3 linked regions of the Saccharomyces cerevisiae S288C genome follow. The protein of the gene in region 2 purifies or fractionates together with the protein of the main gene of each other region. This does not show direct contact. Each region holds a gene or a part of one and is shown on either strand. Other genes may lie near its edges.

Region 1 (3,084 bases), on a different chromosome or scaffold from region 2:
TCCCAAACCACGATATATGCCTTTGTATCCTCCATTAGCAAAGAATCCACCCTTAGCTTGAAGCCTGGTTTTAATTGTGTCTATAGGGAAAAAAACCAAATCCGTAGAGGTACCAGCAGCGGCGCCACTTAGCAAGGAAAGAAAAAAAGTATTCATAGCAAACTTTTCAAAGCGAATTTTAGTTCATCGGTGTGTCTAAACATATAAAATCGCCAAACAATTTACAACAAGTGGAGCTTTAATGATCTCATATATTCTCGAGGGTGCACCCCACTGCAAATGTATTTATATACAAAACAGCGCTCAGTAAGCGAGGAAAAAAAGAGGCGCCCGTGCTTTTGCCGATACATAAACTAAAAACCAATAAACTTGCCAAAATACGTATATTCTTCAATCCATGAGGCACCACTAATTATATGCAAAAGCTCAATATCTGCTCCTTCAATGGCATTAGATAACTAACAACCTATGTACTATACAATTTTAAAATACTCTCTTAATTAATTCAACTTGGCTAATAAAGAGTCAATGTCAACTTCGATAACTGGTGCTGTAGCTGCATTTGAAAATTGACGAGTTCTTGATTCAGCCTCCCGCTGTTTTATTTTCCTTAGCCTATTCAAAGAACCAAATCCAGATACTTCTCTATTCAACTTGAATGGTTGTAAGAAGAAGTTACAAACAGAAAAAGACTCACCCATAGTGGCAATCTCATGAATAATATCTTCAACACAAATTATTCCATGATCTCCTAATTGCTCCTCGACAATATTGTTGTCATTAAGAACTATTTCGTGAGGTTCAGCCTCATTCTCACCCTTATAGATTATTCTACCTCTCTTTTGAATCAAGGAACGGATAGAAGATAAAGAAGGCTTGCCAATCACTACGTATGGCGCAATAACCTTGAGCAACGGATATACGTTTTTGGTCAATTTGACGAAAACACCAGTATTAGTTTCAACTAATCTTAGCAAAGACAAAATCTTAAATGCTTTGTTTGGAATATTTACAGCAAGCGGACCTCTTACTCTGACAATGAAAAGTAAAGCAGGTTTGCCATCGTAAGTAGTCTTTTCTCTGATTAAACCATCGTCTTCTTCTTCTTCAGTCTCCTCCAAGTCGACAGAGTTCTCTTCGGCGCCATTAGCTTTTTCTGTTATTTTCAGAATAAAATCTTTCCCAGATGCAATATGCTGCGTTTCATTCTTTGCCTTCTTATCTTCTAATATAGACACTCTTTTAATTCTTTCCTTTTCCCTAGAGGTAGCCAAAGTCTTTGCAACTATACTTTCAGCTCTGACAAATTTGTTCTTATTACTTCTCTTTTTTTTGATTTGTTCTTCCCTCTTTTTCTTAGCTAATTCTTGTCTTTCGATTCTAGTTCTATCAGCATTTCTTCTTTTCCTCAAAAGAATTTCTGGATTAGAATTAAGAGTTTGCGCTTTACTGTCTTGAGTTGAAGACATTGTGACTTGTATATCTTATTCTTTTTCCCTGTGGCAGCCTCTTCTTTCTAGGAACTTAATAACGAAAGTACCAAACAACTTAGACTTTTCTCATCTCATCGCTTCCCAGCTTTTTTTAAGCAGAGCTGAAAAAAATTTTCTTTTTACCAAAAATCCGTACTGCGTGATGAAAGTGTACATACATTATTCAATATTCACCTAGTTTTGTATATTAATGTAAAATGTAATTTAATGAAGATCCCAAAAAATTAAGCATTCGTTGCTGCATCGTTGTCATTTTGTTCAATTATCGCATTCCTATCATAGCAAAAATATGAAGGTTATTAGTCTGAAAAAGGATTCTTTTAACAAAGGAGGAGCAGTGATTACTCTTTTACCGGAGGACAAGGAAGATCTGTTTACTGTTTATCAAATAGTAGACAAAGATGACGAGTTGATATTCAAGAAAAAATTCACCTCTAAACTTGATGAAGCTGGTAAGAAAAAAAGTACAGATTTGGTCAAGTTGAAGATTAAAGTAATATCCGAGGATTTTGATATGAAGGATGAATATTTGAAATATAAAGGTGTTACTGTTACAGATGAAAGTGGAGCTAGTAATGTTGACATACCTGTCGGCAAATATTTGAGCTTTACCCTTGACTACGTGTATCCCTTTACTATCATAAAACAAAACTTTAATAAATTCATGCAAAAGCTCTTAAATGAAGCCTGTAATATCGAGTATAAATCAGACACCGCGGCGGTCGTTTTACAGGAAGGGATCGCCCATGTTTGTTTAGTGACATCCTCCTCTACTATTTTAAAACAAAAAATTGAATATAGTATGCCAAAAAAGAAAAGGACTACTGATGTACTGAAGTTTGATGAAAAAACTGAGAAATTTTATAAAGCAATTTACAGTGCAATGAAGAAAGATTTGAATTTTGATAAATTAAAGACTATTATTCTTTGCTCTCCAGGTTTCTACGCTAAGATATTAATGGACAAAATTTTCCAGTATGCCGAAGAGGAACACAATAAGAAAATACTCGATAACAAAGGAATGTTCTTTATAGCCCACTGCTCCACGGGCTACTTACAGGGCATTAATGAAGTTTTGAAAAATCCACTATATGCTTCAAAGCTGCAAGATACTAAATACTCCAAAGAAATCATGGTGATGGATGAATTTTTGTTGCATTTAAACAAGGATGATGATAAAGCTTGGTATGGTGAAAAAGAGGTAGTTAAAGCGGCTGAGTATGGCGCAATTAGTTATTTACTGTTAACAGATAAAGTTTTGCATTCAGACAATATTGCACAAAGAGAGGAATATTTGAAACTGATGGACTCCGTAGAGAGCAATGGAGGAAAAGCATTGGTATTAAGTACTTTGCATTCTCTTGGAGAAGAACTTGATCAATTGACGGGTATAGCCTGTATTCTAAAATACCCGCTCCCCGATCTTGATGAAGACGATGGTGAGGAGTAGATTTACTATGTAAGAAAAAAGTAATGTACACATAAAATTTGCAACCCTATAATAAATCGGATTATTCTCTTTACTTCTTCCCTATAAGCAAGTAGATGTGAAGCCGCAATTAATTGAGTTGTTGTGAAATGGTTCTAGTTA
Region 2 (5,256 bases):
TAATCATTGAACTCGGGTCATGGTCCGCTTGGTAAAAGTCAGTAATATGCATACATAACTAATGATGCCTTACCTTGGTGTTCTTTTGTAATATACCTAAACCGATATCACGCTAGTATTTATTTCCCGAATTTTTTTGGCGTATTTCGTCATCTGAAAATAACATAATCAATGAAAGAAATAGAGTCAGTTGCAAAAAGTGCAAGCCAGCGCTAACCGCTCCCGATTTAGTCGCAATATTGATGGCAAACAGTACCAAAAACTGGTTACCCATATAAATTGTTTGGCATTGTTATTATTGTTATAAATTATTATTGTTATTATTATAAATTATTATTAGTATTATACAAAGTTTTCAATTCTGCAACAAGTTGGGCCGCAAAATATGGAGAAAAGCGAAAGTAATTCTGAAGGACTTTATCTCCAAAATATATTAAATGTTCCCCCTCCGCAGCGATTTATTGTGCTCATAATACTTGCCCTTTGGATCTGGACATGGATATTAAAATTCTTCTTGCATAGTAATTTAGACGTATCCCAAGTCATACTCACGAGAGTACCGCACGATATACGTCCAGGTTATACTCTACAGCAATTGCATAGAACAGCTAGAAATTTTGCTTTGAAGATAACAAGGATTATTATACCGTTCCACTTTGCCACTGTGTTCCTTTTTGAGTTCATGAATATTATAGAAGGTCCACTCAAAAATATCATTCTCATCGTATATTTTCTACCATTGATCCAATGTGTCACTATATTTTGGTTTCTGTTGAAAGAGTGCCAGATAATAAAATATTGTACTAGGAGATGTTTGTTGATAGAATCCTCCCCCCGTTCCTTAAGGAATACCTACATTTTAATCTCTGACACGTTGACATCGTTTGCAAAACCATTGATAGACTTCACATTGTTTACCTCTCTAATTTTTAGAGAACCCTTCACACATTTTGATCTATCCGTAGCCCTTCTTCCTGTACTGGTAAGACTACTGCAGTGTTTGAGAGAATACCGTTTACTGCACGAAGCAACTTTACTATTCAATGCATTGAAATACAGTTGTAATCTTCCCATTCTTTTTTGCACCTGGAGATCAAGAGTGTATGAGGGATCCATCAACGAAGAAAGACTACACCACGTTCAAAGATGGTTTATGCTAATTAATTCTTCCTATACGTTATTTTGGGATGTAAGGATGGATTGGTCATTGGACTCGTTAACCTCTTTAAGATCCAGATCCAAAAGTGCCGTCACATTAAAGAAAAAAATGTATCATTCGGCGATTCTCGTTGACTTTTTGCTGAGGTTCTGGTGGCTATGGGTATATTTATCGCAGAATCTGAAATTAGTTGCCGCAGATAGCGACTACATTTTTTTCCAAGGCGAAATGCAGTATTTCGAAGTAATTAGAAGAGGCATATGGGTCGTTTTCAAATTGGACGCAGAGTATTATATTAAGTTTGCAAGCAAATAATTTGTTGGGCAAGCCATATAAAATCATGCAAATGCTGTAAATATTTGTTCTATTTTCCCCGTAGAATGGTTTATTCGATATATTACATATAATAAACGAAAAATACATATGCACAGTATATACTTTTCCAAAAAAAAATCAAACACTGTTTGAGCGTCAAGAAACCCCAGGCGGTGCCCGACGATAATGCGACTGCATTATCTCCTACGCTTGTTGTCGTTTGCCTTTCTTTGGTTTATTCTTCGTTCATTTTTGGTCAAATATCTGAACTTTTTTACTCTTGGCTTCTTCTTTTGTTTCTCATCCACGCCCAGAAACTTCGCGTATTTGGTGGCTCTATTTATGCTTTGTTTGAGTACTTTTTCTGCCTTTTCTAATTTGACATTATTTAGCTGGGCTAAATATTCAAAGTTATCATTGGGTTCCAATGTCTCCAATTCAACAGTAGTTGAGTCATCGTATATTTCCGTGATTGCTCCTTTCTTCAAAATAGGCTTTACGCTACTTTCATTATTGTCGTTATCGCCGTCATCTTTATCAGAATCAAACCCGTGCCAGGATTCATCAGATTCTACCTGCAAATCCTCCGTCTTATCATTTTTCGCATCCTCTATCTCAGCTTCCAAGTTTAAACTCTCTTTAAACGTCTTTAACTGTTCTTCCATCACCTCCTTACGTTCCTGCCGAATCTTCTGTCTTTCTTCAATTTTTCTAAGCCTTTCCTGCTCCTTAATAAACTCTTGTGCTTTCTTTTGTCTTTGAAGCTTTCTCTTGTGAAAGCCAGTCAGATAATCCAAACGAGAATCCTTGTCGAACGTCACCTCATCGGTACCGAATTTCTTTGATTGCTTTGTAGCATAGTTTTTGCCTCTTGTAAGGATTTGCCTATTGGTGTGAACAGCCATAGCAAAAATCGAAAACCTTTAATTCACCCCTCTTGATTCGAGCAGCTACCAGGAACTTGAATATTGCAACTCTCTATTTTTTATCTGCTATTATCTGCTGCTTTGCAGAATCGATCCTCATCACATTTGAAAAATTTCAAATGTGAAAAGTCCCTACTTACCCGTTCGCGGCTCATGAAATCGTGTCCTCTTCAATATAAGACAAGAGTATCAAACAAAGGATATAAGGCAAAATACAACAAATTACCAGTGAATTCCGCATTTCCAAGTCAAATCAAAAACTATTTTCGAGGAAATAATGGCAGGCCCAAGGAATGTGCGTACATTACATGGAAATGGAGGCCGTAATAATGATGTGATGGGCCCAAAAGAATTCTGGTTAAATATCCCCCCAATAACAAGAACTTTATTTACTCTAGCGATCGTTATGACGATCGTCGGCCGGTTGAATCTAATCAATCCGTGGTACTTTATTTATGTTTGGAATTTGACGTTCAAGAAGGTTCAGATATGGAGACTTCTTACTTCTTGTGTAATGCTTTCGTCTCGTGCCATGCCTGCGCTAATGGAACTATATAGTATTTATGACAGGTCCTCACAGTTGGAGCGAGGGCATTTTGGTCCCGGTTTGTCCAATAGACGAGGACCGATGGTAACAGTAGACTATGCCTACTACCTGTGCTTTTGTATACTAGCCATCACTACGGCCACTACAATCATTTATGGGTCCTACTACCCTGTTGTGCTCACCTCTGGGTTCATATCATGCATTACATATACTTGGTCGATCGACAATGCCAACGTGCAGATCATGTTTTATGGTTTGATTCCTGTTTGGGGGAAGTACTTCCCCTTAATTCAATTGTTTATCTCTTTCGTTTTTAATGAGGGTGATTTCGTAATCTCATTGATCGGTTTTACTACAGGGTACCTTTATACATGCTTAGATACCCATACACTGGGGCCAATATGGGGGATGATATCCAGAAAAGCTGATCCAACCTACGGAATCTCGCCCAATGGGAAATTCTCAACGCCATGGTGGTTTACTAGTCTATATGCTCGCATAACGGGTGCCCACAATGAAACTGCAACATTCAACAACAACTTTGCCAATGTGCCATCTTCGCAAAGAGAAACGAGAACTTTTAGTGGAAGAGGTCAACGATTGGGTACGGCCCCTGCAACATTGTCTCAAACCAGTGGCACAGATTCAGGCAGAGCTTCTGGAAGTCAATTAAGAAGTGGCCCATCGAATTTGAACCAATTTCAAGGCCGCGGCCAACGAGTAGGACAAACAAACAGCCCCTCCGACTCACAATAACAACTTTTATCTATTTCTATGTACTTTGCCATTCATTATATACATCAAGAGAGTCTGACATAGTATTTTCGTTGGCATAGCAACCGATTGATAATGAAACATCACTCAAGACGAATTGACAAATGGGCCACTATGGTAAAACAATTCTTTACATGATACCACCAGTATATAGAAAGGTTCTCGTGTTGATGAATTATATAAGAAAGTGAAAATCGATTTCAAGATAATTACTCTTTTTACCTCCTCTTTCATTGTGGTCACCGTTTTTGAACACAACATGCACCAAGATTTTCAAGAAGACGAGCATGAGTATCCAGACATCAGACGCAATCCGCTGCATGAGGTGACCATGACTTCCTACATACTGGGGATTCTTTTAGGTATATTTGTTGGTCTTTTTCCACAAATTAGATTCAAGAATTTTAACCTCTTTATTATTGCCCTGTCCTTATTCCATTTTTTGGAGTATTATATTACAGCTAAATACAATCCTCTTAAGGTACATTCAGAGTCCTTTCTTCTGAACAACGGCAAAAGTTACATGGCGGCACATTCCTTTGCTATTCTGGAATGCCTCGTAGAAAGCTTTCTTTTTCCTGATCTGAAAATTTTTAGCTACTCTCTAGCTACCAAGCTTTGTACAGTACTTGGATGTCTTCTAGTTATTCTGGGACAATATACCAGAACTATTGCTATGCATACTGCGGGACATTCCTTTTCTCATATTGTGAAGACCAAGAAGGAGTCCGATCATGTTTTAGTGAAAACTGGCGTTTACTCCTGGTCAAGACATCCAAGTTATCTTGGGTTCTTTTGGTGGGCAATTGGCACTCAGCTACTGCTTCTAAATCCCCTATCATTGGTTATTTTCATTTTTGTACTTTGGAAATTTTTCAGTGATAGAATTCGTGTGGAAGAAAAATATTTGATAGAGTTCTTTAGCGCGGAATACATAGAATACAAGAATAAGGTTGGTGTCGGAATACCTTTTATATAATAGTAATGATTGTGTTAGTTATGGACTGGATTTTTGTGTTATGTAAGATTTTATCTAATCTTGTGCATCTGTATTTGGTAGGTAATAAATGCTAGGGGAATGCAAACAGTGATATTGCCTTTGAGTATTGAAAAGAAGAAAATATTTCTTTTTCGAACGGAAAATTATAGAAAATGAAGGTCATATGCACAATTACAAAGAAAATATTTCATGAAAGAGCTGGACGGAACCGTCCAATTTTAGCCTCGTTTTTAACCACTGTTGTATTTCTTTCCATAATCTTGCGTTTTCCATGTACCCATTATGGGTGAAGTTGAGGATGTATTAGAAAGTTGTCTTTTTTGGGGCAGTACATTAGAGTAAGGCCTCCTTGGAATGAATGGATTTACAATGAGTCTGGACTTCTGCAACGGTATGGTTGCAGTGTTGGGAGGATTGGGGACACTGTTTTCATTGTTTATCAAAGGAAGCCCAGACTTGTTAGAGTTTGTACGAATTGGGACGTTCTGGGGCAACGTGGGAAGTACAGGCGTAGAATTTTGTCGCCCGACGTCAT
Region 3 (4,378 bases), on a different chromosome or scaffold from region 2:
AAAATGATAGTTTGCAGGAATTTATCAGTCAATTGATGGGAGACATCGCTATTGTTGCCTTATACGATACACTGCAAAAACGATAACAATTTCTTATTTGTCAACCTCGTGGGAGACTCGATAGGTTGCATGATGATGTGTCACAAAAAAGTAGAAGTGTCATCTTGACGCTATCCCACCCCTTCTTTTTCCACATGCTTAATTATTTGTATACATCCAGTGACATACAAAAAAATAGTAGAACATGGAGGGGTCGGCTTGTTGGATAATTTAAATCGGTTTATTATTATTATACAGATTAAATAAAATTTTTTTAAAAAAAAGATACAGAAAAAGTGAGAAAGAAAGAAAAAGAAACCACTAATAGTGAGAGAGATAATCAAATGTAAATGGTAATCCTACCAGCCCAAAAAGATTAGAATGTCGTGTACGTACATCCACATTTTATATTCATATTTTTTTTAAAGTACATGCAAAAGAAAGAATAAGAAGTAGAGAAATCAACGGAAATCTGTCTTACCGACACCACGCTTACCACTGAATAAATGCTTTGATAAGGAAACAGCATTGTGTCTATCAGATTCACCTTGCTTGGCATGTCTATTTCTTTCTCTTCTTTCCATCTTGGCCATCCTGTCGGCCTTGGATCTCATGGAGCCATCAGCAACACCATCCAACAGTCTATCGGTTTGTCTCAACTTGACACCGTTTTCAGTGGAAGCTGTCAAAGCATCTTGGTCGCCAAAAACAACATCAGAACCTCTTTCAACATAACGGTTCTTACGAGCAGCACGGTTCTGTTTATCTTGTAAGGCTGACATGTCATGGCCCAAAGTGGACATGTGTTCTTCCATTTTACCAAAGGACTTAGTTAGTTTAGAACGTGGCATGATAGCTTTGTTCTTCAAGGACTTCCTATTTCTTGCTTCAGCAATCATCGTCTTTTGTCTATTTCTAATCCATGCAGCTTTCTCCTTGATATCATCTACTTCGGATGCTTCGAAACCGTCGTAGATTTCTTCCTCATCGTCAGAATTGTAGAACCCTTCGTTCTCCAATTTTTCTTCTTCTTCTTCAAGAGCCTGCAGTTTAGCAGCGATTTCAGGGTCCAAGAAATCATAAACATTCTTACCATCCAAGATTTCTGGCATGATGTCATTCTTCCACTCATCATCTTCTAATAGGTACTTGTCCTTCAAGTTAACATTGAAGACACCAGCACCACCATTTTCAGCTTCGATGTCTCTGGCCAACTTTCTCCTGTTTGGATCTTCAGGGTCGTATTTCTTCAAATTCTTGACAGATTCTGGGATAAATGGTGTTCTCTTGACATCATCTCTTGCTTGAGGTTGAGCAACATGAATCTTGTTCAGAACATTGTTGATTCTAGACTGAGATTTCAACTTATTCTCAATTCTAGAAGCCAATAGTTTTTCACATGCTTTGTTTCTAACTTCCATAACGTTTTCTTCCAGTTGGCATGAAGAAGTCATGATTTCAACACCTGGAACCTCCTTAACAGATTCCAGTAATTGTGCACGCTCTTCGTCTAAATCCTCCGGTCTGATAATGTCGGTTTTGTTGATAACAACCATGACAGACTTGTTGGCGAATAGAGGCTTGATGGAGTGGAATAGTTTAACTTGAGCTTCGATGGTGAAACCACATTGTTCGGAAAGATCCATGAAGTACAAAACACAAGAACGTAAATGGGCAATGGCATAAATCGATTGCATTTCAATGTTGTTCATTTCTTCAGTGGGTCTATCTAGGATACCAGGGGTGTCAATAGCTTGAAATCTCAAGTATTTGTAGTCAAAATGACCAACGTATAAACTCTTGGTTGTGAAAGCATATGGTTGAACATCGACGTCTGATTTGGTAATGCATCTCAAAAACGAGGACTTACCGACATTTGGATAACCACAGATCAGCAAGGTTCTGGTATTTGGGTCGATCGATGGTAATCTACCAATGTGCTGTCTGACTTGTTCCAAATAGGCCAATGGGTCCCTCAATTTCTTGACTATAGTTGCCATTCTACCTAAAGCGGCCCTTTTCAATTGTTTACATTGAAATAAAGATTGACCGAATTTTAGCAATCTGACATAATCTCTGGCGACTTGTTCCACAAGGGACTTCGCACGAGATATAGCTGCCAAAGATATCTTGTAATGATTCTTTTCGTATAGGGTGTCCATCAAATCTCTATGGAAAGGATGCACGTCATTGATGTTAGGAAAACCCTTTAAAATGTCCTCAAATTTTTCCACGAAACCTTCACCTGTGTATTTAACTTTACGCATATAGAACGCTCTGATTCTTGTAATCTTGAAACCAGGTCTGATCACAGTTGGTGTCTTTCTCTGGGTTCTGTTCAAGACAATATCCAGCAAATCATTTGCTGGAGCGACAGTAGGGATATCCTTCCATGAAAGTTGCATCTTCGGTATAGGAGGGAGATGTGTTTGCTTTTGGAGGGTACACTTACTTTTTTATAAACGCTGCAACTCCTAAATCTGAAGTGTATTCTTTATATTGTATTAGATGAGGTAGTACATAGGTGAAAATTTTTCTTTGCGATGAGCTGCGGAAAAAACTTTTCGTTCAGTTGAAAAAAAAAAAGAAAGTGAAGATCGTGTGCGACGGAATAGACGTGTCGTTTTCCCAATACTGGCATACAAATCAAGAGGGAGAAGAGTGGGCTTTTATAATTGCAGTTGAATGCAGTATGGTAGCCGAGCAAACACAGGAGAACATGTCAGCCGTAGGTCCAGGTAGCAATGCAGGTGCTAGTGTCAATGGCGGATCTGCTACAGCCATTGCTACTCTTTTACGCAACCATAAGGAGTTGAAGCAAAGGCAGGGTTTATTCCAGGCCAAGCAGACAGACTTCTTCCGTTACAAGAGATTTGTTAGGGCACTGCATTCTGAGGAGTATGCCAACAAATCTGCAAGACAGCCAGAGATATATCCAACTATACCTTCTAACAAGATCGAAGACCAGCTTAAGTCACGTGAAATCTTTATTCAACTTATAAAGGCACAAATGGTGATCCCAGTGAAAAAATTGCATAGTCAAGAATGCAAAGAGCATGGATTGAAGCCAAGCAAGGACTTTCCGCACTTGATTGTTTCGAATAAAGCACAATTGGAAGCCGATGAATACTTTGTTTGGAACTATAACCCTAGAACCTACATGGATTACTTGATCGTCATTGGTGTCGTGTCCATCATATTGGCGCTCGTATGCTACCCATTGTGGCCGCGCTCCATGAGACGCGGCTCCTATTATGTGTCTCTGGGTGCCTTCGGCATCTTAGCAGGCTTCTTTGCTGTCGCTATCCTGAGATTGATATTATATGTTTTGTCATTAATTGTCTACAAAGATGTTGGTGGGTTCTGGATCTTTCCCAACCTGTTCGAAGATTGCGGTGTACTAGAGAGTTTTAAGCCACTTTACGGTTTTGGTGAGAAGGATACTTATAGTTACAAAAAGAAACTGAAAAGAATGAAGAAGAAACAAGCCAAGAGAGAAAGCAATAAGAAGAAAGCCATCAATGAAAAAGCCGAACAAAACTGAACTTCCATTATCCTGTATAGCTCTACTGTATAAACCTTCTATATTGTAACCTCATGAACTCGCACATGTACAAACCTTCAAGAGAACCGGCACCAAAGCGCTACCATCTGGTTGCTTCATCGCTTATAGTGAGTAGTTTTAGATTTGAAGGTTATCGCTCCTGGCAAAAATCTGAATCCACACACCGCATAATTAGCGGTTATTATTACTCAATTTCCGGCCGGCTTTAATATACTTTCACCGAAAGGTCTCTATATAGAAGCTATTTGCTGACACTTGCTTACAGGAATCGATTATATAAGAAGGGTTCTGCATCTGGTTGCCTACTTAGTTTTCGGTATTTTTGAAGATTAGCAAAAAGATCAAGATATCAAGTATTTTCATATTTGTCATTTTAATGTTTCGCTCGGGTTACTATCCAACTGTCACTCCTAGCCATTGGGGCTATAACGGCACCGTCAAACATGTACTGGGAGAGAAAGGAACCAAGTCTTTGGCTTTCAGAGATTCTAAGCGCCAAATTCCTCTTCATGAATTCGTAACCAAACACGTGCCTACACTCAAAGATGGTGCAAATTTTAGGTTAAACAGCTTGCTTTTCACAGGTTACTTACAGACCCTTTATTTGTCAGCCGGTGATTTTTCCAAAAAATTTCAGGTATTTTATGGAAGAGAGATTATAAAATTTTCTGATGGAGGGGTCTGCACTGCAGATTGGGTTATGCCTGAATGGGAGCAAACATATTCATTAAATGCTGAAAAGGCTAGTTTTAACGAGAAACAATTTTCGAACGA

The links.
Region 1: the proteins of RRP17 (region 2) and RLP7 purify together in Saccharomyces cerevisiae (affinity purification with mass spectrometry; 4 studies listed by BioGRID). This does not show direct contact.
Region 3: the proteins of RRP17 (region 2) and NOG1 purify together in Saccharomyces cerevisiae (affinity purification with mass spectrometry; 4 studies listed by BioGRID). This does not show direct contact.

What each region holds. Positions count from the first base shown.
Region 1 is NC_001146.8:625,674-628,757, forward strand, and holds RLP7 (Rlp7p), read right to left. Parts: upstream 1,470-3,084; coding exon 501-1,469; downstream 1-500. Other genes in the region: PET8 (Pet8p), read right to left, coding at 1-156; ribosome dissociation factor DOM34, read left to right, coding at 1,783-2,943. UniProt on the Saccharomyces cerevisiae protein: Involved in the biogenesis of the 60S ribosomal subunit. May act as a specificity factor that binds precursor rRNAs and tethers the enzymes that carry out the early 5' to 3' exonucleolytic reactions that generate the mature rRNAs.
Region 2 is NC_001136.10:1,291,816-1,297,071, reverse strand, and holds RRP17 (rRNA-processing protein RRP17), read right to left. Parts: upstream 2,380-5,256; coding exon 1,672-2,379; downstream 1-1,671. Other genes in the region: YDR415C (putative aminopeptidase), read left to right, coding at 1-35; ERD1 (Erd1p), read left to right, coding at 386-1,474; DFM1 (Dfm1p), read left to right, coding at 2,678-3,703; STE14 (protein-S-isoprenylcysteine carboxyl O-methyltransferase), read left to right, coding at 3,981-4,700; SUMO ligase SIZ1, read right to left, coding at 4,952-5,256. UniProt on the Saccharomyces cerevisiae protein: Essential protein involved in ribosomal RNA processing.
Region 3 is NC_001148.4:369,044-373,421, reverse strand, and holds NOG1 (putative GTPase NOG1), read right to left. Parts: upstream 2,445-4,378; coding exon 501-2,444; downstream 1-500. Other genes in the region: Sec63 complex subunit SEC62, read left to right, coding at 2,759-3,583; EEB1 (medium-chain fatty acid ethyl ester synthase/esterase), read left to right, coding at 3,981-4,378. UniProt on the Saccharomyces cerevisiae protein: Involved in the biogenesis of the 60S ribosomal subunit.